Linked DNA regions of Mus musculus. The protein of the gene in region 4 purifies or fractionates together with the protein of the main gene of each other region. This does not show direct contact. Links are inferred from orthologs where the notes say so. Each region holds a gene or a part of one and is shown on either strand. Other genes may lie near its edges. The genes, in order: Caprin1, Atxn2l, Trim25 and G3bp2.

Region 1 (7,001 bases), on a different chromosome or scaffold from region 4:
TCACATGAAAATAAAAAAGCAAGGGAGAAAGAGACAAGACCATCACAGCACCTTAGTTTTCTAATCTACAAAGTAATAATGTTCTCTTTTTATAAAGTTATGCTTATTTGATACATATTTCTAGCACTTTGTTTTATTATCACATCTTAAAATTGAGTGTAGAAGGTATAGTTTGGTAATTGGGTTTTTAACCAGTGCTTTAGTTTGTTTTATGCCTTAGTCACTGTTCAGTTGTGATGAGGCACCATGACCAAGGCAACTCATCAAAGACAGTATTTAATAATTGAAGCTTGTTTAAAGTTTTAGGGATTTAGTCAATTACCATGGCTGGGAGTACTGGAAAAGTTCTACATCTGGCTCCACAGGGTCAGAGAGAGAACTGGGCCTGGCTTGGCCATTTGAAACCTCAAAGGCTACACTTAACTCCATTATGGCCATATGCCTTTATCCTTCGCACTTGATAACTGAGCATTCAAATATATGAGCTGATGGGAGCTGCCACAATGCCTCTGTAATAGAATATCAGAGATTGGACAATCTGTAATGAAGAAAAATGTATTTCTCTGAGACACTGGAAGTTCAAGACCAAGGCATTGGCATTTGGTGCGGGTCTATCACAAGATAGAAGAGGGAAGAACAAAGAGTGTGATCCTATTTCCACGAACAGTTGTCATAGCAACAATAACTAGTTCATCAGGGTGGTGCTCTTTGGACCCAAGTAATTGGTTAAAGACTTTATCTCTCAGCACTTGAATTTAGGTCTTTAAATTTCCAATACAGGAATACTAGGTATGAGGTTACACAGAAACCATACTAACCAAGTGGGAGATACTTGGCTTAGGTCAGCACTTTAAGCTTGATGGACCCTTCTTTCTCCTTCTCACACTTCCTATTCTTTTTTTTTTTTTTTTTTTTTTTTTTTAAAGATTTATTTATTTTTACTATATGTAAGTACACTGTAGCTGCTTTCAGACACTCCAGAAGAGGGTGCCAGATCTCATTACAGATGGTTGTGAGCCACCATGTGGTTGCTGGGATTTGAACTTTGGACCTTCGGAAGAGCAGTCGGGTGCTCTTACCCACTGAGCCATCTCACCAGCCCCTTCCTATTCTTTATACAGTTTACTTTTTAAAAAGATGTTATGCAGTTAATTTACTCTGATCCTTTGATATATTTTTCACAATAAGTAGATATCTTTTTTATTTTGTATCAAATGGTAGCTTTAGCTTAGTTCTAATCTACCTTATTCATACCTTCGCTACTTAAGTTGATATGTCTCTCATATTTATTATAAAAGAAGACTTTGGGCTAGGGAGATTGCTGAGTTGGTTAAAGTGAGGACCTGAATTAGATCCCAAGAACCCATATGCAAGCCAGGTGTGGAGGCACTTGGTTATAATCTCAGCTCTAAGGAGATGAAGAAAGGCAGATCTCTGGGGCCAGGGAGAGACCCTGTCTCAAAAAGGTACCTGAGGTGTATGGTATCTAAGGAAGGATGTCTGATATCTTCCTGCCTCCAGATGTATGTGTTTGCATGTGTCCACATGTGTACATGTTGTATGCACACTGAAGCACATGCAGTTACTTCTTTTGGATAGATATTTTTGTTTTTGTTTTTTCTTCACATTCCTACTTCTCTTCCTGTTTGTGCCTCCAGCTACCTATGAAAGACCTTCCTCATTTAAACTACTTCTCCCAACATTGAAAAGCTCATCCATTTCAGTAGACGACATTTCCACCTTGTAAGCTTACTTGCCCATCCTAAATTAGACTTTAGCCCTGTTTATATGTTTATTGCTGTAATATCATTTACCTCCTCTGCTGCCAATATAAACTGTTATTAAAATGTTCATTATTTCTTCATTCCTCTCTTTAAGTTTTAAAAATTTTAAAAAGATTTCTGTTTTATGGGTATTTTTCCTACATGTGTGTCTATATACCACATGTGTGCATATCTTTGGAGACCAGAAAAAGGCTCAGATTCCCTGGAACTGGAATTAATTGTACTGTTGGGAATACATACTATGGATGCTGGGAATTGAACATGGGTCCTCTAGAAGAGTAGCCAGTGCTCTTTGAACCCTGAGCCAACTCTGCAATCCCCAAACTATAGGTTTTGTATGTCTATCTCCATTTTGTTTTTTGTGTCAGTTTATCTTAATTAAGCTGGAGATGGTTGGAAAGGATGAAAGAAAACAGTGCCATGACTCTTAAAAAGACCTTTCTCTATCCCTAAGCTGATGCTAATATGGAAGAGAAGGAAAGAAATACTTGACTTTGATGCTGTCCTTTTAGCCTTTTAAGGGAAAAGATGGGGGAACTGAGGGGAAAAAAAGACATCCTTCATTGAACTTACATGGTCTCCTTTTCTTTGTCAGTATTCTTCATTCATGAAGACCTTTTTTTTTTTTTTTTTTTTTTTTGGTTTTTCGAGACAGGGTTTCTCTGTATAGCCCTGGCTGCCCTGAAACTCACTTTGTAGACCAGGCTAGCCTCGAACTCAGAAATCCGCCTGCCTCTACCTCCCGAGTGCTAGGATTAAAGGCGTGTGCCACCACGCCCGGCTTATGAAGACAATTTTATTTATTATTTTTCAAGTTCTGAACTCCTTTCTGATGTCATGAGTGATGTTTGCCGCAAGGAGTCAGTGGTGGATGTTTGGCTTGTTCTTGCATAGAATGTTCTTAAGTTGGACACTGTCTTGGGTTTATGTTCTTTGACAGATTCAGAAAACAATAAAGAAGACAGCACGTCGGGAACAGCTTATGAGAGAAGAAGCAGAACAGAAGCGCTTAAAAACTGTACTTGAGTTACAGTATGTATTGGATAAGCTGGGAGATGATGATGTGAGAACAGATCTGAAACAAGGTTTGAGTGGAGTGCCAATATTGTCTGAGGAGGAGTTGTCATTGCTGGATGAGTTCTACAAGCTCGTAGATCCTGAGCGTGACATGAGTTTAAGGTATGATGGTGTCTGGGAACAGAATCTTAAGAAATATTGCTCATTGGCAGTTGGAAGGTAGTTAATGTTTTCTTTGTTATTGCAAGGTTAAATGAGCAGTATGAACATGCCTCAATTCACTTGTGGGATTTGCTGGAAGGGAAAGAAAAGCCTGTGTGTGGAACAACCTGTGAGTATCACAGATAATTCTGAGTTTATAGCTAGGAATCTTTAAAATACTTTTCTGTTTAAGGCATTTTGCAAGTATATAAACAACAGTTTGCATTTATTTTTATGCATTCTTTTTTTGGCATGCCTTAGTGACATTCTTTGTTGCTTTTTATACTTGATACCTTCTTGGGACAAGATTTGTAGATGGCTTTTCTTCTGCCATGAAATACTTATTGCTTATCCTGTCAGCTTGTACAGCAGTTATACCAGGGAAGTTATAGAGCCTCAGCCTAAGTCCAGTCTGTTACGTTTTATTGTGTAATTTTGTTAATTTTTTATCTTGATATCCCTTCTGGTAGACTAAAATTAGTGAGCATGTACTGCCTTTTTATATTGTTTTAATTGACTATTTTTAAAGATTATTTATAAGCTGGGTGTGGTGGTGTGCACCTTTAATCCCAGCACTTGGGAGGCAAAGGCAGAGGATCTCTTGTTTGAGGCCAGCCTGGTCTACAGTCAGTTGGAGTAAAGCCAGAACTACACAGAATCACCGTCCTAAAAACTAGAGAGAGAGAGATTTATTTCTAATTATTTGTGTGTGTTGTGTGTGTGTATCTATATGAATATACATATATTGTGTGTGTTGTGTGTGTGTGTATCTATATGAATATACATGTGAGTACAGGTATCTGAGAAGACCGTTAGAGAGCATCAGATCCCTTGGATCTGCAGTTAGATGTTTGGGAGCCAACCCATGTGAACTTTGCTCTTCTAATCCCTGAACCTCTTCTCTAGTGCCCACCACATGCTAACACATACAGTATGCTCAACACAAGTTTTTATTGAGTGAATAATCTTAGGTTTATTCCCTCCTTATTTGCTTAGTATAGTAGTTTAGATAGATTCCTTTTTCATTCCTATCATATTGTAATTTGTTTTATGTATGTGTGTGTGTGGTTGTTTTACTAACATGACTACGTTTTCTTACTGCTTTTGTAGAATATTAATTTTTTTCAAATTTTTATTAAAATTTTTTTTCAAATCAAATTGTCAGTGTAACATTGTATTCTCCATTTTTTTAGATAAAGCTCTAAAGGAAATTGTTGAGCGTGTTTTCCAGTCAAACTACTTTGATAGCACTCACAATCATCAAAATGGGTTGTGTGAGGAGGAAGAGGCGGCTTCAGCGCCCACAGTGGAGGACCAGGTAGCTGAAGCTGGTGAGTATTTGGGTGGATATAAGGATTAGTTTTGGTTCTGGCCTTAGTTTCTTTTTCCTTTCTCATTCATATGTATGTATATATGTAAAATCTGTATACTCAAATACCCTTTGAACATGGCAAAGTACATTCAGCAATCTGAAGTATTCAGAACCCATCATGTATCTTACAGGCCTTGATCACAGGTAAATTAGTAACTCTCTTGCCTACTTAGTATTGTTGGATAAGGAGTATGGGTTAGGGGCAGTTGTAAGGATTTTTGTCTGACTTGTTTTACTTCTCACCATACCAACATATAGTATGATAACTATATTGGAAGCATATATATGGAACTTCTAGAGATCTGTCTGCCTCTGCCTACTGAGTGTTAAGTTACATTTCTTCTTTAAGGCTGTGTATAGAACTCTATGGCTTGAACTGTAAACTCCTTATCCGCTAGGGAGTTTTGCAGTTGATGTTTAGCATCTTAATGAAACACAGGTGTGACTAGACAGCCTGAGTACTTTCATAATTAATAAGTTGATGAATAAAATTGAAAACAGATACTACAAAAATTTTGTGATATTTTATAAAGTATAAGTTCAGAGCTGGATTGCTTAAGGTAAAAACATACAACACCAGCTATCTAACTTGGGGTAATTACTGCAAACTTTTAAAGCCCAAGTTTCCATTTAGTGTGTGAGGGGTGTATTCAGTAAGGCACATGGTACTCACTACTATCGGAGTGCTACTATGCTGAAGCCAGAAGGGAAGACTGCTTATTGGTGGAATATAGGTAAAGCATTTTACTAAGTGTTAGTTAAGTTTAAAGGTGTGCATCAAGTTGGGCATAGTGGCACATGCCTTTACAGTCTCAGTACACAGGAGGCAGAGGTAGGAAGAGCTCCTGAGTGTGTGGCCTGTCTGCTCTACAGAGTGAGTTTCTCCAATTTAGAAGGTTTTTATTTTCATCATGCCTGCCATAGGAAACTACTGTTAATGCTGAAATGACTCCTTCATTCTGGAACCAAGTAAAGAAACTTAGAAGTGTAGTTACTGACTATAAAAATGGGAAAGGAGAAGAATTTATCAGTAATATATTCTGATTATGTGATTGTATAATGATAATGTCACTTTAGTGTTTAAGTAGAATTGATACCATTAAAACACTCACTTATATGTGGGTATCATTTACAAGCAGAATTTTCTTTTTCTGTTGTTTGTTTTCAAGACAGGGTTTCTCTGTGTAATAACCCTGGCTGTTTTAGAACTCACTTTGAAGTCTAGCCTGGCCTCAAACTCACAGAGATCCTCCTGCTTCTGCCTCCCGAGTGCTGGGATTCAAGGCTTGTGCCACCATCAGACTGGCTGCAGACTTTTTTCTTAAAAAGCAGTTTTAGGTTCATAGTTAAATGAACATAAGAGGGGTTAAGAACACTGTTTACTCCTGCTGAGGACCAGGGTTTGATTTTAGCAATCTACAGAATGGCTCTCAACTGTCTGTAAGGGCATTTGCCACCCTCTTCTGGCCTGTGTGGACACACTACGAATGCCTGGTACACAGGCATGCATATATGCATAACATCATTTATATAACAAAGTTTTTTAATTGCTACCCATCTTTCCTTTTCAATTGTATAGCTTCCTTATTGCAGCATTCCTGTTAGAGGTGCATTTGTTACAGTTGATAAGCCTAATATATTTTCACCTAAGTGTGTATGTGTGTGTTTCCCCTTTGGTTTCTTGTACATTCTGTAGATTTTCTACGGTTTTAATTTCCTTGACCTAAATAAATCTTTTCTGCTCTATTTCCTTTTTAACTTTAGAACCTGAGCCAGCGGAAGAATACACAGAGCAAAGTGAGGTTGAATCAACAGAGGTATGATTTCTTAAAAGAGTTTAGTACTGCCTTCACTTTTCTACCTTCCCAGCAGATACCACAGTGTGTGCCTTTTCTTCTTAGTATGTCAATAGGCAGTTCATGGCAGAAACACAGTTCAGCAGTGGTGAGAAGGAGCAAGTGGATGAGTGGACAGTTGAAACAGTTGAGGTAAAAGTTCTTTTGACTTTAGTGATTTCTACCTGTCCTGAGGGGAAAAAATAGGTGGTTGGTTTTTTTAATTGACACAATGATTATAATAAATACATATCACATAATTAATATTTAATGTTTGGGAAGCAGTCATGAAAATAGTATTTTCTTTTTTCTCTATTTTAGGTTGTAAACTCACTCCAGCAGCAACCTCAGGCTGCGTCCCCTTCAGTCCCAGAGCCCCACTCTTTGACTCCAGTGGCTCAGTCAGATCCACTTGTGAGAAGGCAGCGTGTACAAGATCTTATGGCACAAATGCAAGGGCCCTATAATTTCATACAGGTAGGTATATTTTAGTAAAGCACCATTGATAGTAAATTTAAATGTATGTTGTTTGATGTAATTCAGTTATATCCTGACTTGTAGGATTCAATGTTGGATTTTGAAAATCAGACGCTTGATCCTGCCATTGTATCCGCACAGCCTATGAACCCTACCCAGAACATGGATATGCCTCAGCTGGTTTGCCCTCAGGGTTAGTAATGATGATTTTAAAAGTTAATTTTTTTAGAAAAAAAAATTGTGTGTTCATGTATTTTCATATTTGGCATATGTATGTTGTCTGAACAACTTAGTACACGAGTACCCGGTCTCCTC
Region 2 (7,801 bases), on a different chromosome or scaffold from region 4:
TTCAGAGTTGTCCTTTTCTAAGGGAACCCTGAGAGTGCACCCACATAAATCACCATCCCAGTGCGAGGAAACAATGAAAACACAATGAAAAAACACACTGCTGTAACTAAATCACTAGTTCAAACCTGTGGCATTTCAGCTAATAATACTTCAGGGTTTTTGTTTTTTAGTAGCATTAAAGGATGAACCCAAGGCCTTACAAATGTCAAACAAGTGCTACACTACTGAATTTATCCCCAATTCAGTATATAGTCAAGACAGCTGATAAATCCTAGGCAAAGCACCAGGTATGTTCTGATTCTGATACTTTGTGGGCCCAGATTAGGTCAGGCTGGCCAGCAGCAAGCACACCCCCACCCAGCTGGTTTTCGCTTTTCCGGCAGGAGAACTACAAAAGGTTGACCATCACACTCATCTTTTGTTTGTTTGTTTGTTTTTGTTTTTTTTGAGACAGGGTTTCTCTGTGTAGCCCTGGCTGTCCTGGAACTCACTTTGTAGACCAGGCTGGCCTCGAACTCAGAAATCCACCTGCCTCTGCCTCCCGAGTGCTGGGATTAAAGGTGTGCGCCACCACGCCCGGCCACATTCATCTTTTTAAAGGCTTGTTGAGGACAGAGCTCAGGTCCTGATGCTCATATAGCATGTACTTGACGACTGAGCCACATTCCCAGATTAACAAAAGTTGTTTCTATTCACAAGAAAGCAACTCAACAGGCAAACCAGGAGGGAATACTACTTACAAACCAAGAAAAACACTAGGCAACAACTGTTTCATTCAGAGATCTGCCTTACTAAATAAACAGTAAGCCCCCACACAAGCTCTACACACCAGCCACCCAACTTCACCACCCTCAAACTTCCAAAATGCTTACGTGTAAGAAGATAGACTGCTGTCATAGGTGGTCTTCACTCCATAGTTCTCCTCATTAAATTTGAACATCTCATTGGGATCCCATCCATTAGACTAAGAGAACACAAAGAATGTTTAAAACTCAGCAAAAAAAAGGAAAAATGGCATGCCATTTCCTCTCCACCATGTTAAAAACTTCAACTCCTGTACAAACTATACACACTGACATGCATTCAGTGACAAGATTTGTTTATGAGAAATGATCCTCCTGTTTCCACATTCTAAACTCTGCAATTACAGGTGCTATCATGGCTCTCTATATACATGCGTTGGCTTAAAAATAAATAAAAAATAAAAATAAAAAACCCTCGGGGGGCTGGAGAGATGGCTCAGTGATTAAGAGACTGACTGCTCTTCTGAAGGTCCTGAGTTCAAATCCTAACAACCACATGGTGGCGGCTCACAACCATCCGTAATGTGGACCTGTTCCTGTGGGATTGTAGGTATGTGAAAGTCTGAGGACGATCTGCGAGAATCTGTTCCTTTTCACCACTTGGCTTGGTGGCAAGCACCTTTATCTGACCCACCTTGTCAGACTAATTTAGAACTCTAAGCTCATCGAAGAAACAGAATGAAGAAGCATGGATATATACAATAGTCCTCCTATACACCTCCATTTCTCTCCTCTGCTTTTCTTTAAAGACTTTTTGTTATGTAGCCCAGATTGTCCAGGACTTCACAATTCTTCTGCTACAACTTCCCCAAGGCTGGATTAGAGGTATGGGTTATACTATGCCCACCTTATACTTTTTACTACAATTACAAGTGCTGCCACGGAGAAACTTTAATGGTTTTCAATGCAGAGGATGGGAAAACTGACCAAGAACAACCTCAAAACAAAAGTGAACAAACATAGCCCAACAGAAAATAATGAACGTCCACATCAGCAACCCATGTTGACCACAACTCAGCCCGCCTGTTCTCAGGAAGGGAGAACATACCATATCGGATTCCAGATCGTAGTCGTCACTGTTGCTGTCACCGCCCTCCCAACGTTGAAGCACCTTCTCTTTGTGTTCTCCATTCACCTTAGAGTTCATGGCAATGGCTGAGTCAGTGAACTTATCTGTTGGCAGAGGGGAGCAACAGAGTCAGGTGATGGGCCCACTTCTCATCCTTACTCCCCACCCCATGCAGTTTAACAAAATGAAACTAAGAAACACCAGATTTAGTTTATGGGAGCAGGGAGAACTATTGAAACAGGTCTATCTAGATGGGGTGGTGAATGCTGGTAATGCGAGCACTCAGAAGCAGAGGCAATTTGATCTCTGCCAGTCTAAGGAGGCTAGCCATATATACAAAGACCCTTCCTTCCTCAACAGAAAAACAAAGCCCCAATCTAATCTAAAAGCTAAACTTGAAAACATGAAAAAAGGAGTACCTACACCGCTAGACACATTCACTCGACTCTATCAGGCATCAAGCTATGTGCTCAAGAACTCAAGTCACCTCTACTGAAAAGTAAATCAAGTCAACGTGTTCAACCTGCGGGCTAGCTCTCGTCAGCTTCTTGACACAACAGTTCAGAGCGATACCTTTAGTAGCATAATTGAAGTCAACATTTCGGAAGTGGACAAGCAGAACGTCGCTTGGTTTAAACACCATGGTGTCCACAATGTCTTCCCGGCGAGGCCCACCTGCTGGCTCAGATGCTTTCCGATGCACCGCGTCAACTGCCAGTTCAAACTACAAAAGCCCCAGTCCAACATGGCAGGGTCAGTATCAGAGGGAGAAGATGGATTCGCTCTTAAAGCTTTCTAGTCTTTCAACGTCAAATGCCCATGTCACTCTGTATTTCCCAATGTCAACCAGAGAACTTAGCAAAAGCCTCAAAACTGCCCGCTGTCACCCAACACACACTCTCAATCTCACTCTCCTTCACAGCTTCAGAAATTCCTAATTTGAGTACACTGACCTTTGAGCTCAGAGTCTTGAAAATGCCCTCGTAAGTGGTGCCATTTTTCACCTTTACGTCACAAGTAGAACCCTAGCAAGGTGAACCATTTAGTCATTTTAAGAAACTGAAACAGCATATTCCTCAGACACCCAGGTTAAAGCTGTTACTTACCACTACAGCTGTCAGGAAATGCAGCATCCTGGAATTGTTATAGACACCTTCAAACACCTGTCACACGAGAAAAAAGTAAAGGGCAGCAGGTGAATACTCTCTTCTCAGATTGTCCCACACTGTCTGTCTTCCGAGTGTCTTTACAGGAGGAAAAGAAGGCACTCACGGGTGACTGTGGGGGTCCCTTTCCGGTGGTCTGTCCCCTATTAAAAAAGAAAGAGAGAAATAGTTTTAATTAGTAGTGAACCCTAGACCAATGTACCAGGTCAACTTGCTGATTTAGGCTATAGACTGATTAACAAGCAAGACTTTTCAAGTTCTCACATTAAAGAAGAAAGTAGGCATTAACTGCTAAAACATTTTCTCCGAATTCAAGATTTTAAAAAAGTCAACAAAATATTCAATAAACAATAGCTGTCAAATGTTCCTAACAGTCAGTGCAATACAACCTGACTTCCTCTAAGGGACAGTCCTTCACTCTTCCGATAAACCACTGCTATAGTATTAAACCAACAGCACACTTCAGCTGTGAAGGCGAAAGCCCGGGCATCCCAAACGCAGCACCTCTGAGCTTAGACACATTACCTCCCAAAGGAAAAAAAGCTTTCAGGAGCCTTGGATTCCAAATCCCAGGAGAAGTATATTCTCCACACCCCACCCTTTCGCCCTCATTATTTTCATTCAGCCTGTTACCCACTCTGAAGGGATCCCCAAACGCCAGGTAACACAGCTCCTCGACGGCTGATGTAACCGGCAGTTGAGGAGGGCGAGGAGGGGGCCGTTGGCTGGGCTGGGGGACCGCGCAGCCGCAAAAACCATCCACCGGGATGCCTCGCCCGGTCTGCGCCTGCGCACTACAGCCCATCGCGCTCCACCACCCGCTCTAGAACAGAAGCCACTGCGCCTGCGTCCAGTGCCTCTTTCTATCGCATTGACACACCGAGAAAAACCGAGGGCACCCACTCCCCACTCACCGACACCAAACGCCCCTAAACCCTCCAAATAACCCCTCCCTCCTCCGCCTCTGCTCTACGTGTTACCGGGGCAAGCCAATGCCCGAGTCATAAGACAGCATCCGCGCGCACGTACGCCCGGGGAGCGCGCGCGCAGGAGCTTCCCAGCCCGCAGTCTTCCCAGTAGCCGCTGCTTCCGCGCCCCCGCCCACCCCGTCCCCCTCTCACTGGCTACACCGGGAAGAGGAGGGAACAATCCGCTCCCAAGTCCCTCCCTCCCCATTGGCCAAACTGTGGGCCGCGCGCCCCCCCCCCATTGGCTACAGTCGGGGACCCCTTCATGCAGCTGACTCCCCATTGGCTGAAGCCGGGGACCGCGAGATCCTTCGTGGTAATGGAGCTAGGGACCCCATCACCTCCTCAACCCCCCCAACACCCTTTGCCGACGGAGCTGGCGGGATGCGCCCCGCCTCCCCTCAGGGCCCAGACCCCCAAGAGGTGACTAGGCCCAGAGAGCCGAGCGCTGCCCCCAGGCTCCTGGAGACCTCCCGGAGAGCTTTCTCTCCGACCTGTTGGCACGAGGGTCCACCCCCTCCTTCACGGGGTCCTGGGCCCCCAAGAGCCCCCTCAACAGCTCCAAGCCGGGGCGCTGCCTCCCGGGCTCTCCCTAGCCAGGAAGCCCCGTCCTCACCTGACGCTGCCGATAGCCACTGCCCCTGGCCTTTCTTGATGCTGCGGCGGCGCTGACGCCGCTAAGATGCTTTCGGCTCCGCGGCGAAGTCCGCTGCCGGCAGCGGCTGCAGGCCCCAGGCACGGAGAGACCGCTGCGGGAGGCCCCGGGGGAGCCGCGGTGGCGGTCAGCGGTCCCGGGAGGCCGCCGTTGGGAGGGCTGGTCCCGCCGGGAGACCGGCGAGCCACGGCCTGTTGCGTGGGGGGCGGCTGCTGGGGTTGGGAGGTCTGTTGTGGCGGCTGAGGCTTCAACATGATGGCAGCGTCCGGAAGAGAAATAAGAGGGAAGGGAAAGAGGGCCTGGGGCCGGGCCCCTGCTGGAGAGCGCGGGAAGCGAAAGAGATCGCCAAGCAGGGGACCCGCCGTTGGCGGGCGGGGGGAGCCCCGCGGTGTCAGGGGTGGATCGAGAAGACGGCGGCGCGAGGAAGCGCCGCGAGGCGGAAGGGGAGGGGGGATCTCGCGGGCCGGTGGACAGCGAGAGGGCGCGAGCCGGCCTGGCGCGCGTGCGCGTCGCTGGAGAAGGAGAGGGAGGAGCGCGGGCGGAAGCGCCGGCGGGGGAGGGGCGCGGGGAGCGCCGCCAGGCGGTTAGTTCCGGAACAGAGGAGAGGCTCGAGCCGTGGCTCCGACCGGCCTAGCCCCTGGGGCGGAAAAGGAGCCGCGCAGGCGCTTAGCGCACCTCTAGGTTCTGAGCCACCTTAAATGCTGGCGGCCGCGGTTGCTTCACAACGAGGGTGGGCGGGGCCAAAGCCGGGAAGGGGAAGTGCCGGCGGACCCGCCCCTCCCACGCCGCCAGCGTAACGTCAGAAAGTCTCCGCGGTGGTGTGAGGTGTCACGTCGTAGCGTGAGGTTCTTCCGCCACTGGGTGACCGGTGGGCGGAGTCTCGGGAGCAAGAGAAAAAAAAAAATCCCTAGGACTGGAAAAACCTAGTACAGGTAACTTAAGGCAGGTGGGTTTTTAAAGGTGCTGCTCTCCATCTTAACTGCTTTAAAATATTAATGAGCGTCAGAATGACTATTCTGAGCATATGTGCATCCCAACAAATGTGCCCAATTCTAAATTGAAATTCAGTGATTCTTTCAGGGAGAGCGACCCCCTGAACAGTAGCAATACAAGCCGTCTGAAAGCCAGACTGACTAAGAGTATATTACAGAATCCAGCTGCATAGCAAGACACGGTTAGAAAACCGTGGTATAGTGCTTGCCTATTAAGGCAGCCCTCATTCAAAATTAGGGCAGCTATGGTGCTTCAGAACTTTAATTCCAGTACTAGGAAGGGAAGGTAGGAGGATCAAAAGTTTGAGGCTATCCTGCATTGTATAATAAATATCAGGTCAGCTGGGCAGACCCTGTTTCAAAAGGAAAAGTTGATGGAAAAGTCCATGCTTTGGGTAACTAAGCCACTCAAAGCTCAAGCTAGTGGAAGATTTATATAATTTGAGCAAAGGTACTTGGTAAAACACAGAGGGCAGGAAAATGGATTTCTATACAGACGAAATGGATCTGACAGGACATACGAAAAAATGGAGCTTGATTGGAGCCTGAAATCCTCACTCTATAGCTGTAGCTGGCTTTTAACTCCTTGTGTATACCATGGTGGTCTTAAAACTCACAGAGATCTGTCTGCCTTCTGAGTGCTATGATTCAGACATAAATCAGCACAGCCAGACTTTGTCATGGAATGTTAACCTAAAATCCCTTTATTGATAACATAATCCAAAAATTAAATCTAGGATTGGGTAGACACTAAGAAATTGAATATAGCAGTACAGATGAGTCCAAATCTACACTTCAGATTAATAACCCATCATAAGCGGAAAAATGGAATTAATTTAAAGTCATCCTCAAATATTTAGTCTGAGGCCAGTGGGTCAGGTGAGAGTCGGCATACACTTCCTAAAAAGTATAGGAGCAGGGGAAAGATAAATAGGTCATTTGGTAGCAGTGTACAAAATAAAAATGTATGTGTGGGTGGTTTGCCTTGCAGGTATGTTGGTGTAGAGTGTGTGTGTGTGTGTATGTGTGTTGGTCTTGAAGGCCAGAAGCAGGTATCCGGTCCCAGGGACTGGAGTTAACAGTGATAAGAAGCCATGCAATTGTGTTGCTGAGAATCAAAGCCAAGTCCTCTGGAACTGAGCCATCTCTCCAGCTCCCAGATTTTTAAATTTTATCGTAGGCATGTGTGTGCTTGAGTGCATTATGCATACCATGTAGGTTGCTAGTGGAAAACTGACTTCCAGGCAGCTAGGGTGAGGGTCTTAAAGCCCACACCCACAGTGACTATTCCACCTATTCCAACAAGGCCACACCTCCAAATAGTGCCACTCCCTGGGCCAAGCATATTCAAACCATGACAAATGTGTATTGTTTTCCAGAGAACCTGGGTTCAATTCCCAGAACCCATGTCAGACAGCTCATAATTGCCTGCAACTCAAGCGCCAGAGGGTTTACTGCCTCTGTTTTTTATAGGTACCTACAAACTTGGCATCAACTCACACAGACAGACACATGGATGATTGAAAATAAAATCTTAAAAAAAAAAAAAAAGAAAAGAAAATCTTTAAGGAAAACCCCTTCAAGCCAGGCAGTGGTGGCACATGCCTTTAATCCCAGCACTTGGGAGGCAGAGGCAGGTGCATTTCTTGAGTTCGAGGCCAGCTTGGTCTATAGAGTGAGTTCCAGGACAGTTGTGGCTATACAGAGAAACCCTGTCTCGAAAAACAAAAAAAAGACCTCTTGAGTTTCATTGACGTGTTAGGCAAGCAGGACCCACACTCTCCATTTACCGCCTGCTGCCGTTGTTCCCTATGAGCATTTGAATTTGAAATCTGTTTTTAAAATTGAGACAGGGTCCGGGCGTGGTGGTGCACGCCTTTAATCCCAGCACTCAGGAGGCAGAGGCAGGCGGATTTCTGAGTTCAAGGCCAGCCTGGTCTACAGAGTGAGTTCTGGGACAGCCAGGGCTACACAGAGAAACCCTGTCTCAAAAAAAAAAAAAATTGAGACAGGGCCTGGTACAGCCACCACTTGCTCCACTCAGTTAAGACTTGGTAGAGACAAAGGACCATTGATCTCCAAGGACATACTTCTTTCTGTTCTGCTCTGATGCCCTCCTTGGGCCATATCCAGGTCACTCAGGCTGTG
Region 3 (7,001 bases), on a different chromosome or scaffold from region 4:
GCCTCCACCTGGGGCTGGAGAGATGGCTCAGCGGTTAAGAGCACTGACTGCTCTTCTGAAGGCCCCGAGTTCAATTCCCAGTAACCACATATCGTGGCTTACAACCATCCGCAATGAGATCTGATTCCCTCTTCTGGAGTGTCTGAAGACAGCTACAGTGTACTTACTTATATAATAAATAAATCTTAAAAAAAACAAAACAAAACAAAACCGCCACCTAAGTACCAGTAAGCATCACGAACAGGGTAAGTTCCACCATTCCCGTACTGAGCAGGGAATCTGGGTCCTTGGGGGACCAAACGAGGTAGTTCACGGAGATCTGGGCCGTGAACTAGACAGGTGAGGGAGAAGAGATAAGTGACAAGATATGGCTTATAGCCAACAAGCACATCTGAAATGACGTCATCAGTGCTACGGTGGTGGCGGTAGTTGGGGGGAGGCATAATCTGCAACACCAAAGGGAGTGACACAGTAAGATGCTCCCAAGAGTCCCCCATAACCATCCCCCCAAGTACAGGGCAGATGGAAAGGGCATTACTGCATGACAAACTACTAGGAACAGAGAGGGAACACCACCACAGGAACAATGAAGATCTTCAACCAGTCGAATTAATAGAAAGGGCGATTATCCTGGGTAGACCAGACTCAACGGGGTAAGAGGCCTTCAAGAGGAATGTTTCTGCTGGCTTAAGGCAAACACTGGTTGGCAAGCTGAAAGAAGGCCTCAGCTGACAGCCGGCAAGAAAATGTACACTTAATTATAGCCCCGAGGAACTAAGTAGCCAGGTGCTCTTGGAAACAAAACAACCCTGCGCTCCAAAATCAATACAGCCCAGCCTGCAGCTAGACTGCTGGTACTAGGGCAATAGCCCGGAAGCCACGCCCAGACGCTGAGCTGAGGGAACCAGATCATCATCAGAGGTTCTCTAAAGCCCCTGAACTCAGGTAAGCTATTGCAGAGTGTAGACATACAGTATGTCTCTGGGAGCTTTCCAAATTGACCTCTTAAAGCCCTGACTCTATGAGGTCCAGACTCCTATCAGCTCTGCAATGTTAGGCAGAACATGGGCAGAACACACACACACACAAACACACACACACACACACACACACACACACACACACACACACACACACACACACACACACAGAGCACCGGAGCCACAACTCACCTCCAGAAACTCAAACTCATCCCCTTTGTCCATAATGAGCTCAACCTCTGCCTTCAGTTTCTGCATCTCACTCTTCTTCTTGACGAGAACCTGGTAGATGGTGTCGAATTTTCCGTAGACTCTCTTCTCCTCCTCCTTTAACTTGCGCAAGGAGCTGGTCTCTGCTGCGTCGATGACAGCCTTCATTTCCATATACTCCTGTCTCAGCTGTTCCATCTTCCTCTTCATAGAATCCTACGAGGCCAAGATGAGGGGGCTCCTGTCAGACTGCTGATAACGCTAAGGTTGCACTCCTGTGTTGTGTGTGTTTGTGTGTGTGTATGTGTGTGTGTGTGTATGGAGCACCAGGAACTCTGTGACACTTCATGCTGCCACCCTGGGCAGCCACTTGGCAAAGTCCTGCTTGGAGGTGAACACACCCCAAGACCCAGCAACCCCAGTTCCTAGGAGGGTACTGTAACTACTTGCCCAGAGAAATACACATAGGAAGTTCACACGCGCCAGGCTGGTGGCAGTGCATGCCTTTCCTAACCCTTGGGGAGGCAGAGGCAGGCAGATATCTGAGTTCAAGGCCAGCATGGTATACAGAGTGAATTCCAGGATAGCCAGGGCTACACAGAGAAACCATGTCTCAAAACCCAGAATCGAACCAACCAAAGAAACAAACAGACAGAGTGTTAACAAGCAAAGCCCGGTGTGGTGACTCATAACTCTCATCCCAGCACTAGGGAGGCTGCGACAGGAGGATGAGAATTTCAAGGCCACCACTGGCTACACTATATACTTGAGGCCACCCCAGGCTACATACATGTGACCCTTGTCTCCAAATTGGGATGGTGGGAGAGGGGAGACGACTGTTCACAAGCAAATCTTTTGAAACAGTAAAAAGTGAGTTAGTCACATAATTTGTTATCACTCCAGTTCCTCCAGAGACTGAGGCAGGAGGGTCACTTGAGCCCAAGGATTTGTGGCTTTCCGGGAGCCATGAAACAATTTCAAACAAATTCCTAAAGATGATCAAAGACGACCATCCTTTAGAACTCTTTTCAGTGCTACATGTGGCTTCTGAGCATTTGAAACATGTCACGTCAGCTGGGCAGTGGTGGCACACACCTTTGATTCTAGTACTCTGGAGGCAGAGGCAGGAGGATCTCTGAGTTTGAGGCCAGCCTGGTCTACACAGCGTGTTCCAGGACAGCCAGGGCTACCCAAAGAAACACCATCTCAAAAAAAAATTAAAAAAAAAAAAAAAAAAAAAAAAAAAAAAAAAAAAAGGCCCATAACTTGTGAGTAGACAATGAATGGACGTCAAAGACTTAATACCCACCCCAAATTCCTTAATACTTTTTATTGAGCTAGAGTCAGCTCACTTGTAGAGCACTTGCCCGGCATGCACAAGGACCTAGGTCCATTCCCCAGTATCATCAAAGGAAAATTTATTGATAATACATTGAAATAACACTTTGGACACACTGAGATAAATAAGTTACATTACTAAAATTAGTTTCAGAGGTTGGGAGCATAGCTCAGTGGCAGAGTGTTTACCCAGCATGTGTGAGGTCATGGGTCCAAGGTTCAAGGCCTGCCACCACACATGTAATTCAAATTCGTTTTAAATTAATCAGAGGTGGTCAGGATGTTTCTGGTAGACAGTGTGGTTTCAATAGTATGTTTGGACAGCTTTCTTGAGTAACTTCAATAGTTCAGAATCAAACACGACAAACAAACAAAAACTATACAATGCACACCAAGAGAGTGGAATTCACCTTTTTAAAAATTGTTCGCTTTGGGGCTGGAGAGATGAGTCGGGTTAAGAGCACTGACTGACTGCTCTTTTCCAGAGGACCCAGGTTCAATTCTCAGCACCCACACAGCAGCTCACAACTGTCTGTCAGTCCAACGTCCGACACTGACACAGACACACATTCAAGCAAAACAATAATGCACATAAAATAAAAACAAATGAAAAAAAAAAAACCCTGTTAAATGTATTATTACTTTTGTTGTTGCTGCTGCTCTCAGGGTGTGCACACATCCTCAGGTGCACACGTGGAGGTCAGAGGACAACTTTCAGGAGTTGGTTCTCTTCTTCCATTGTGGGCCCTGGGATTGAACTCAAGTTTTCAGGCTTGTTCAGCAAGCACTTTTACCCACTGATCCATCTCACTGACCCTCAACTCTTTATCCACTGAGGTATCCTTTCAGAGTACCTCCTCTTGGGAACATTAATATCTTTCGGTGTCACTTCCTCCTTTTCTTTTTTCTTTTTGTTTGTTTTTTTGGTTTTTCGAGACAGGGTTTCTCTGTGTAGCCCTGGCTGTCCTGGAACTCACTTTGTAGACCAGGCTGGCCTCGAACTCAGAAATCTGCCTGCCTCTGCCTCCCGAGTGCTGGGATTAAAGGCGTGTCCGTCACTTCCTCCTTTTCTTTTTCTTTCTTCTTTAAGATTTATTTATTTATATGAGTACACTGTTGCTATCTTCAGACACACCATAAGAGAGCATTAGATCCTATTGCAGATGGTTGTAAGACACCATGTGGTTGCTGGGAATCAAACTCAGGACCTCTGGGAAAGCAGTCAATGCTCCTAACCACTAAGCCATCTCTCCAGCCCACTTCCTCCTTTTCTATTTAGTAAGGGAACACACAGGAGAGTCACCTGGTATACAGCTTTCTAGACTACATTTTCCAGGGTCCTCTGCAACTAGGCTTGGCCAGGGTGACTAAATTTCTTCCACTGAGGCAAGGCTAGAAGTAGTATGTGCAGCAAACATCACAGTGATTGCTTAAAAGGAAATTGCTTGTTGCCAGTCTCTTCCATCTTGTTCCTTTTTTTGAAAGCTAGAGAAAGCAGGTGAGGGTGACCTAGTGTCTGATCTATTGAGGTTACCCAAGAAGTTTGCTCAAGTGAATTTAGTCATCTTAGTCACAACTGCCAAATGAGTCTACACATACATCCCAAGCCCTACAGGCACATGTTAATAATAGTCCATCATCATCATCATCGGTCTTCAAAAATGTACTTAAATTAAGAGTGAAATCCTCAGGGCGCTAGAGAGAAAGATGGTGTAGTGGTTAAGAGCACTGGCTGTTGTTCCAGATATCCAGGGTTCGATACCCAGCACCCACATGGCAGTTCACAACTTTCTGTAACTCCAGTGCCAGAGGATCCGACACCCTCACACACACATACATGCAGCCAAAACATCAATGCATGTGAAATAAAAATTTAAAAAAAAAAAAAAAAAAGGAGAGAGACCATCTTGAGTTAGCCAGGTGAGCCCTGAGTCCAATAACAATGGTCTTATTGTAGATGGAAGAAAGGTACTGGCAAGACAGAAGCAGCAACAAGACAAGGAAGACCTGAAGCTTCCTCCTGGAAGCTGGAAGAGGTAGGAAGGATTCTCCCCAGAGGACGACGTGACAACAATGACAATATCATTATTTCATCATCATCGTCGTTGTAACCATCATCATTTCTTCTCCTCCTCCCTTCCTTCATCTTCCGCTTCCTCCTCCTTCCTAGATCAGGTCTCACTATGTAGGCCTGGCTAGCCCAGAACTCACAGAGATCCACCTGTCTCTAGTTCCTAAGTGCTGGAATGAAAAGTGTGCACCACCATGCCTTGGCGTATTCACTGACTCTTAATGTTTTATTTCCTGTCAGAGTGAAGGCGAGTACCACAGCAGGAATTTGGAGGTCAGAGGTCAACTCTGCAATGTCAGTTCCCACCTTCACTTGGATTCCCGGGATTGAACTTGGGGGTCAGGCTGCACAACAATCACAACTCAGCCATCTTTCTAAGCCTTTTACCCCTTCATTTTTAATGATTCTCCCAAGGCCGGGCTTGCAGGGAGTTTTTCTGATGAGCATTTATAAAGGCTATTTCTTGGACATAGAGCTTTCTGAATGCTTTGCAAGGCTATTTTTTTAAGGCAAGAGTTTCCTGCATTGGGGTGCACCACACCTTTAATACTTAGCACTTAGGACACAGAGGTAGGCAGATATCTCCGTGGATTCGAGTCCAGATTAATCCACACAGTGAGTTCCTTGAGAGCCAGGGCTAAATAGTGAGACCCTGACTCAAATACAAAATGAAACAAAAGCCAGGATTTCCTGTCCCCCTCCAGGCTGATCTGGAACTGACTATGGAACCAAAGGTGGCCTTGAACTTATAACCCCACTCTACCACAGTTTTGTTTGTTTGTTTGTTTTTGGGTTTTGTTTTGTTTTGTTTGTTTTTCGAGACAGGGTTTCTCTGTATAGCCCTGGCTGTCCTGGAACTCACTTTGTAAACCAGGCTGGCCTCGAACTCAGAAATCCACCTGCCTCTCGAGTGCTGGGATTAAAGGCATGCGCCACCATGCCCCGATTCTACCACAGTTTCTGTGGTATCAGGATGGAACCCAAGGCTTCAAGTGAGCTACCTAAGCACTCTGCTGACCACCCGATTCCCAGGCACGCCCAGGCCAAGTCCTCCCAGAAGAATGAGGGGGTTTGGAGTTAGAGTGGGGGAGGGTCACTCACCTGCACACACTGTTGCTTGGATCTCACATCCTCCAATGCTTTGGTTGCCCCATTGATGTGGCTGTGCATGATAGTGAGTTTATTCCTCAGTTTGTACTGTAGAGAAAACACATAGGGTGAGAGAGCCCCTCCTTAGCCTATGTCCTAGCCCCTCCCCCACATTGAGGACCATTCCCTCCCTAACTCCGCTGCCCCTTCAGGAAGACAATACAAGACTTGGAACCAGCTGGGCGTGGTGGCCCACACCTTTAATCCTAGCACTTTGGAGGCAGAGGCAGGTGGATTTCTGAGTTTGAGGCCAGCCTGGTCTACAGAGTGAGTTCCAGGACAGCCGAAGCTATATAGAGAGACCCTGTCTCGAAAAACCAAAAAAAAAAAAAAAAAAAAAAAAAGACTTGGAACCAAAATGACCCTGTTTGTTTGAAAGCCTGTTCCCAGCCATATGTCTTCTGTCTCTTTCTTTGGCCATGAACAGAAACCACTGGTTTGGTTAAGCAGCTACAGGGACAATCAGGAAGACTAACCAAGGACTGTGCTCAGAGCCCTGCCTGGAGGATCTGTCAATACTAAATGTCAGCTTCTATTCTAATACATTTCTTTTTCTCCTACTCATTTTACAGCTCATGAAATCCAAGCAAGGGGGACAGCAAGTGGCCCAGCTCACAGAGACGTAACAATCTGGAACAGCTGATTCTGTAACGGCAGGGTGAGGTCGCTCACCCTACCACAGCAAACAGCCTTGAAAGTAGACAAAATATCAAAGGTGCTGGAGAACTAAGAAAGCCTTGGCATTTCCAGAAGGGGACCCAACGAAGGAGCCCAACACCCAAGGCTGTCCTCCCCAGGGGAGACTTCCAGGAGGGGGAAGGAAGCTGGGTGAGGCTTTGTCACCTCCAGCAAGGCAGGGACAAATGCACAACTGTACTTGGCCACCCCAGGCCAGGGCCACTGAGGGCTGAGAATCAGGGTAAGCTGGCCACTGGGGCTTGAAAGAACTACACTGATTCAAAACTGTCTGGCTCTCAGCCACCTCCAGGAGCAAGTTTCCTATGTCCCTGCTAAGATAGATCGGTGCCATACAGAGATGAGAAGGGACACTCCACCATCAGTCATGAGGGCTGTCATGAAGGGCTCACACACTCTGCCAGCACCTGACACCTACTACTTCTAGAGCAACACGGAAAAGTAGACATCACTCAGACACGACAGAAGGATGTCGAGGAATCAGGCGACTCAGCCAAGACCACATTGTTAGTAACTGGCACAGGTTACTAACAATGGTACTAAATTTATAAACAAGT
Region 4 (7,001 bases):
CTGAGCCACTAAACTTGGCTCACATACTCATTTTTGAAGCTAAGATTCTTTTTTTTTTTTTGGTTTGGTTTTTCGAGACAGGGTTTATCTGTATAGCCTTGGCTGTCCTGGAACTCACTTTGTAGACCAGGCTGGCCTCAAACTCAGAAATCCACCAGCCTCTGCCTCCCGAGTGCTGGGATTAAAGGCGTGCGCCACCATGCCCGGCTTTGAAGCTAAGATTTTTATATAGCATTGCTCACAATTGTAATTTTTGGTAAGGTGGATGGATATTCTTGTCCACACTGGTAATTTTTCTATTTTTCATATTTACCACTCAGTAGTAACAAGACAGACAGCCTAACATTGGTTAAGTTCCAGGACAGTGAGAGACACTGTCTTTTTTTTTTTTTTTTTTAAATGGGCAGTGCCTGGAGAGGCCCTGAGTTTGTCTGCGGGCGTGCACTTACTCACATGTGCACTAGTGTCTTGTGGCTGGTGTGTGGAGCCAGTCTTTCATTTCACTTGTTTGCCAGCCCATTGTCGTAGCTTAAGCAATGAGTCTTTCTGCTTAGGGGTTGTCAGCCTCTGAAAAGTTGTATTGGAGGAAGATAGTGGCATCTGTAATGCACTGTTCACATCTGCTTCATGAGTTGTTTTTGAAAGCAAGTGATACGCCATATAAAAATTGAAGTAGATTTGAGTCATTAGAAAGTCTAGAAGGACAATTCCAAAGGAAGAAACAACTAAGCGAACACCAGGTAACACTCTGGTCCCTAGGACAGCACTCAACCTTTGTGCTTCACCTTAGTACCTACCTGACAGTTAGGAAAAATACCACATTGTATTAGATGGCTATGGATGTCTTTGGCTGTGAAATTATTTAGTTGCTTAAAGAAAACCTTCATTGAAATGTGTTAAAATAGCTGTTCTGGTAGTATTTTGATTTGTCTGATCCACGCTAAGATGTGTGTTTGGTTTTTGTTTTGTGTCCCCACCCCCAAGTACTTTAAAGTACTTTTGGGTTGGGCCCCAAGTTCATTCCCTTGCTACTCACATAGAATGATTCACTGTGCCTGTGATCCATGGTCCAGGGCTTGAATGTGACACCCTCTTCTGGTTGCTTTGGACACAAACATGCATGTGAATAAAAATAAAGTCACACATCCTTTTTTTTCTTTTTTACATTTATTTATTATTATAATTAAGTACACTGTAGCTGTCTTCAGATGCACCAGAAGAGGTCGTCAGGTTTCATTATGGGTGGTTGTGACCCACCATGTGGTTGCTGGGATTTGAACTCAGAACCTTCAGAAGAGCAGTCAGTGCTCTTACCTGCTGAGCCATCTCGCCAGCCCCATCACACATCCTTTTAAGACAAAATGTGCTTGTGTGTGTCTGTTGATCTATACACAGTTTTTGGTACTTAGAACTGAACCTAGGACTATTTCTTGGAGTTACTGTACTGATTAGATAGTAAAGCCATCTTACTAAAAAAAGAGTTTTGGACAGAAGTGGAGGTCAGAAGACAAACTATGGAAGTCTGTTTTCTCTACTATGTGGTCCTGAGGAATTAAGGTTGGGTCGGGCAAACGCCTTTATATCTCTCTCTCTCTCTCTCTCTCTCTTTTTGTTTTGTTTTGTTTTGTTTTTTTGAGACAGGGTTTCTCTGTATAGCTCTGGCTGTCGTAGAACTCAGTTTGTAGAACATGCTGGCCTTGAACTCAGAAGTCCACCTGCCTCTGCCTCCAGAGCGCCTGGGATTAAAGGCGCGCGCCACCACGCCCGGCTAATGCCTTTATCTCTTAAGCCATCCCACTGGCCCTTCCCACCTTCCTCCTTTTTCTGAGCGTGCGTGCGTGCGTGCGTGCGTGCGTGTGTGTGTGTGTGTGTATATATGTGTGTGTGTTTAGTGTATGCCTGCTTGTAGGTATATGCTGCACCACTTGTTTGCTTGGTGTCTGGTTTCTTAGAACACAGTTGTAAACTACCTTGGAGGTTCTGGGAAACTGAATCTTGGTCCTCTGTGAGAACAATAAGAAGTGCTTTTTAGCTGCTGTCGTCTCACTCCAAGATAAGTTTTTAATCATCTGTAATTGGGTATCCATGTGTGGATATGTACATGAGTACTTTGGGGTTAGAGGTTCAGTTCCCCTGGAACTGGAGTTATAGGCATTTATGAGCCCTTTATATAGCCTGCTGCTCCTTATTCTTTGTGTTGGCTATAATTAGACTACTTGGAGGGCTATGTGTATCAAGTAATTAATGAGTTGTATTTAGCCAAGCTAGTTTTTCCATTTGTATGGGTGTTTTCTCTGCATATGTGTCTGCATTATGTCTATGTCTGGTGCCCAAGGAGATGTCAGAAGAGGCAAGCAGATCCTTGTAACTCCAGTTGCGTGTGCCTTTTGCGGGGTGGGGGTGGGGTGGTTCGAGACAGGGTTTCTCTGTGTAGCCCTGGCTGTCCTGGAACTCACTCTGTAGACCAGGCTGGCCTTGAACTCAGAAATTCGCCTGCCTCTGCCTCCCTAGTGCTGGGATTAAAGGCATGTGCCACCATGCCCGGCTTGGGTCGTGTGCCTTAATATGCTGGGAGTTGAACCTGGGTCCTCTGTTAGAACAGGCTCCTAGCTGCTGTACCATCCCACTAGGCCAGAAATTAATTTTTCTGTGATTCATTTTTAATAAATGGTGTTAATTTGCTTTATTCTCAGTTATATATCTAAGAAGATTTATTTTGTGGTATTTTGCAAGGATGACTTAGTAGCTATTTGTCTTGTGTTTTCTCCTCCAGCATTTGACATTGTGCAGCAAAGAAATGGTTATGGAGAAGCCCAGTCCGCTGCTTGTGGGGCGGGAGTTTGTGAGGCAATATTATACTTTGCTGAATAAAGCTCCCGAGTATTTGCACAGGTAAAATTTAGACATTTCTTTGAATTCTTTGGATATGGCCACATTTTATTGTCAGTTCTGTCTCTTTATATGTTGATAGTATCTTTGCAAACAGGAACAACATGTCATATCTTAGTGCCATAACACATTTGGTCTCTGTCTCTCTCTGTCTCTCTCTTTCTCTCTCTCTCTCTCTCTCTCTCTCTCTCTCTCTCTCTCTCTCTCTCTCTCACACACACACACACACACACACACACACACACAAAACTCCTCAGTATTTCATGTGTCATTATACTAATGTGGAGCTTGACTCATTACAAGGTTCCAATGAGTGATTAGAAATCAATGACTTTATCTTTTGAAGTTCTCATATTGTTGAGAAATGCTGCCACACACCTGACCTGTGAAGGCTCTGTGTTCTCATGTGAAAAGCAGTATTACTTGGAAGATGCTATCACTATTTTGGCAAGAGTTGAACATCCATAAGCTTAATGTTTCCAGAAGTTGGAATGAAGTATGTGTAGCATACGTATAGTCCTATTCTGGGTGGAAGGAGTCCTTGAGCAAGTGGAGGGAGGGTGAGACTTTTGAAAGCTGAGTTCTTCAGGTTGCTGTCCATCCTTTGTTACTCCCCTCAGAAAGGCTAGTACTGACTCAGTGTACATCTTAGGTAAGCTCTCTGGAATTAGATTTTTTTAGGTGTACTGTTGGACATGTGTTTCTCCTGTCTCTTCTGTATTATAGGAGAGGTTTGTATTTACTGTTTTCTGGGTTCCCTTTCTGGGGATGATTTTTCTCCCCATGTAAACTTTATGCTGGTTATAATGTAGGCACTTTAACCATCTATTTCTCATATTTGACAGCTGACAGCCATCGGTGTTTCTCTGTGTAACCCTGGCTGTAACTCACTCTAGACCAGGCTGACCTCAGAATCAGAGTTCTTGAACTGTCTCCTGAGTGCTGGGATTCACCACTACCACCTGGCTAACAAAGTCTCAACTAGTAGTGTAGCTATATTGTTAACAGTATAACTTTGAGGTCAGCAACATGACACAGTGGGTAAGGGATTTTCCAGGAAAGACTTACGACCTGGATGGAGCACTCATAAAGGTGGAAGAGATTCCTCTGGTCTCCACACAAACACATCTGTACATGAATAGTCACAAAATAATTTTTAAAAGTCTTAAGATGGTACAGCTTCCATATTATATCTAGCTTAATTTAAACACTTTTTCCTCTAATAAAAATGTTGATGCTTTTAAGTTTTTCACCGAGGGGTTGGAAGATGAGTCAGCAGTAAGAAGCATTGTTGGTCTTGGAGAAGCTTGGGTTTGAGTCCAACACCCACATTTTGACTCAAGACCATCTGTAACTCTAGTGTCACAGGATATTGTGTTTTCTTCTGATCTCTGCCGGTATTAGGCATACATGGTGTACAACATACATTCAGGCAAAACATTCATACAAATCTAAAAAGCCTGAATAAAGTTTTTAATATTTTTCTCCTCAGCACTTTTAATATGCTTTAGTTAATTATATTCTTAGAGTAACTTCCCTGAAGAGTTGTCACCTCTTTCTTAGGTTTTAAGTGTGTGTGTTTTGTGTAGGCATGCACATGTGTGCATGCTGAAGGGTCAGATTCCGGCTGGAGCCGGAGTGACATGTCAAGTGGTGGGAGCTGGTTATGTGGATTTCTTAACTTCTGTATACATTCAAATAGTAGCACTATTTATGAAGTTGTTAGGATCAAAAGGATCGGTATATGTCACTGAAAATACTGTTTGGCACAGGGGAAGTTCTGACATGTTTGACTAGCTCTGGAGAACATAAATTATGTACTTAATAACTTGAATAAGGAAAGTCAATGTTGAGATGGTTGTAGACTTTTACTTGGTCTTTGAATTCTTTTTTGGTTTTTCGAGACAGGGTTTCTCTGTGTCGCCCTGTCTGTCCTAGAGCTCACTCTGTAGACCAGGCTGGCCTCAAACTCAGAAATCCTCCTGCCTTTGCCTCCCAAGTGCTGGGATTAAAGGCGTGTGCAACCACTGCCCAGCTTGGATTCTTTTTGATTATTTGAAATTTGTAAGCTGTAAGCCTGTGGAGTTAGTAACCACTTGGAGATCCTGAAGAGAGTATTAAATGGGACATTTGATTTTCAGTAAATCTAGACAACTTGAGGTCTGTCTGTCTTTCTTTCCTTTCTTTCTTTCTTTCTTTCTTTCTTTCTTTCTTTCTTTCTTTCTTTCGACATGATTATTATTACAAAGAAGTACACTGTAGCTGTCTTCAGACACACCAGAAGAGGGCGTCAGATCTCATTACAGATGGTTGTCAGCCACCATGTGGTTGATGGGATTTGAACTCAGGACCTTCAGAAGAGCAGTCAGTGCTCTTAACCCACTGAGCCATCTCCCCAGCCCAAGTTTTTTTATCTGAAGAAAAAAAATTTGATCAATAAGTTACTAGATTACTAAATATTTAGGATGCACCTGAACTCCTTCTTTCAATTTTAATAAGAAGATTGACAACAGAGAGGGAGGCTAGCTCCTTGAGCATGTTCCTTGTTACATGGCTGTCCTGAGGGGTCTATGGGCAGTGACTTATTTAGTCTGTACATCAACTCTGGGTAGTAGTCACTGTCCTGTTCGTGACTAAGGACCCCTTTATCTGTTGATTATCAGTGGGTCTTAAGCTTTCTTGACCCTTCAGTGGCAGTATTTTTAATTGTTGATGACTTTGCAGGTTCTATGGCAGGAATTCCTCCTATGTTCATGGTGGAGTGGATGCCAGTGGAAAGCCCCAGGAAGCAGTTTATGGCCAAAATGTAAGTCACAAATTAACGTATTTTCAAAATGTCTTAGAATTAAGATGGCTTTAAAAATGTAGCCTTTCATTAGGTGTTTTTAGATCTTTTGCTATAGTTTTAGTAGAACTGTATATTGAGATGTTTTCAAAAGGAGAGCATGGACTGCTTTATACATATAGTTGAGAAAGCATATTTTACATGTTACAGGAATGTATGAAATAACTGATCTTGATGGGAAGAGAGGACGGTAGAGGGTTTGGGGCTTCAGTTGGACTCCAGGCTTGGTCCTTAGCAAACAGGAAGAAACTGGACATAGAAAAATAGCATCAGCAAACATCATAATAAAGTAAAATTAGATAGTAAAGTAAAAAAAGATCAAAAGGAAGTTGGTAACAGTTTGAGAATGGTGGTCTGGTACTGTTGCAGGATATTTGATCACAGGATATTCGATTACACTGTGAGCCCCAAGATTGTGTTAGTAAAAAAAAAGAAAAACAAAAAAACAAAACCTGTTTTTAATTATGGCGTGTGTCTTAGTCAGGGTTTCTATTCCTGCACAAACATCATGGCCAAGAAGCAGTTGGGGAGGAAAGGGTTTATTCAGCTTACACTTCCATACTGCTGTTCATCACTAAAGGAAGTCAGGACTGGAACTCAAGCAGGTCAGGGAGCAGGAGCTGATGCAGAGGTCATGGAGGGATGTTCTTTACTGGCTTGCTTCCCCTGGCTTGCTCAGCCTGCTCTCTTATAGAATCGAGACTACCAGCCCAGAGATAGCACCACCCACAAGGGGCCTTTCCCCCTTGATCACTAATTGAGAAAATGCCTTACAGTTGGGTCTCATGGAGGCATTTCCTCACCTGAAGCTCCTTTCTCTGTGATAACTACAGCTGTGTCAAGTTGACACAAAACTAGCCAGTACAGCATGGCTCAGCCACTTTTAATCCCTTTGGCAGGAATACAGACATGCCCTTAGTACACACCTTTAATCCCAAACGATGAAGGTAGAGTTAGGTTGTAGAAAAAAGCACCCATGTTTGAAAGTGAAGTCAAATTGAGTGGCAGACAAAGTGACAAATTAGAGAAAGATTTGACAGAACAGGATCTGCCCAGCTCTTGTGAAAAGAAAGGAAAAGGAAGCTACTTAAGGGGCAGTGCAGAGAGGAGCAGGTTTACCAGGAGAGTTCTACAGAGACAGGCTGAAGAGAGAACAAGCTAAACACAGGAGAAGACAGCATGAGCCAGAGAGTGAGAAGGAACCAGATTAGAACAGATTGCCAGAGTTAGAATGAGACCAAGCAGAGCAATTCGAGAGAGGCTGAGA

Evidence for each region.
Region 1: the proteins of G3bp2 (region 4) and Caprin1 purify together in Homo sapiens (affinity purification with mass spectrometry; 5 studies listed by BioGRID and IntAct, with this or other methods). This does not show direct contact. The link is inferred for Mus musculus from reciprocal best matches to the Homo sapiens genes G3BP2 and CAPRIN1.
Region 2: the proteins of G3bp2 (region 4) and Atxn2l purify together in Homo sapiens (affinity purification with mass spectrometry; 4 studies listed by BioGRID and IntAct, counting the BioPlex papers as one, with this or other methods). This does not show direct contact. The link is inferred for Mus musculus from reciprocal best matches to the Homo sapiens genes G3BP2 and ATXN2L.
Region 3: the proteins of G3bp2 (region 4) and Trim25 purify together in Homo sapiens (affinity purification with mass spectrometry; 4 studies listed by BioGRID and IntAct, counting the BioPlex papers as one, with this or other methods). This does not show direct contact. The link is inferred for Mus musculus from reciprocal best matches to the Homo sapiens genes G3BP2 and TRIM25.

The regions. Positions count from the first base shown.
Region 1 is NC_000068.7:103,775,295-103,782,295, reverse strand, and holds part of Caprin1 (caprin-1), read left to right. Parts: intron 1-2,724; coding exon 2,725-2,963; intron 2,964-3,049; coding exon 3,050-3,132; intron 3,133-4,195; coding exon 4,196-4,333; intron 4,334-6,138; coding exon 6,139-6,191; intron 6,192-6,275; coding exon 6,276-6,362; intron 6,363-6,530; coding exon 6,531-6,686; intron 6,687-6,770; coding exon 6,771-6,879; intron 6,880-7,001. UniProt on the Homo sapiens protein: mRNA-binding protein that acts as a regulator of mRNAs transport, translation and/or stability, and which is involved in neurogenesis, synaptic plasticity in neurons and cell proliferation and migration in multiple cell types.
Region 2 is NC_000073.6:126,498,278-126,506,078, forward strand, and holds the start of Atxn2l (ataxin-2-like protein), read right to left. Parts: upstream 5,161-7,801; 5' UTR 4,916-5,160; coding exon 4,623-4,915; intron 4,323-4,622; exon of another isoform or gene 4,054-4,322; coding exon of another isoform or gene 4,019-4,053; exon of another isoform or gene 3,953-4,018; intron 3,824-3,952; exon of another isoform or gene 3,798-3,823; coding exon of another isoform or gene 3,676-3,797; intron 3,182-3,675; coding exon 3,145-3,181; intron 3,036-3,144; coding exon 2,979-3,035; intron 2,898-2,978; coding exon 2,826-2,897; intron 2,597-2,825; coding exon 2,446-2,596; intron 1,977-2,445; coding exon 1,852-1,976; intron 965-1,851; coding exon 873-964; intron 29-872; coding exon 1-28. UniProt on the Homo sapiens protein: Involved in the regulation of stress granule and P-body formation.
Region 3 is NC_000077.6:89,003,524-89,010,524, reverse strand, and holds part of Trim25 (E3 ubiquitin/ISG15 ligase TRIM25), read right to left. Parts: intron 5,797-7,001; coding exon 5,701-5,796; intron 1,407-5,700; coding exon 1,173-1,406; intron 1-1,172.
Region 4 is NC_000071.6:92,069,051-92,076,051, reverse strand, and holds part of G3bp2 (ras GTPase-activating protein-binding protein 2), read left to right. Parts: intron 1-1,314; coding exon of another isoform or gene 1,315-1,326; intron 1,327-2,773; 5' UTR 2,774-2,797; coding exon 2,798-2,892; intron 2,893-5,613; coding exon 5,614-5,695; intron 5,696-7,001. Other genes in the region: uncharacterized protein Gm46933, read right to left, coding at 1,315-1,326.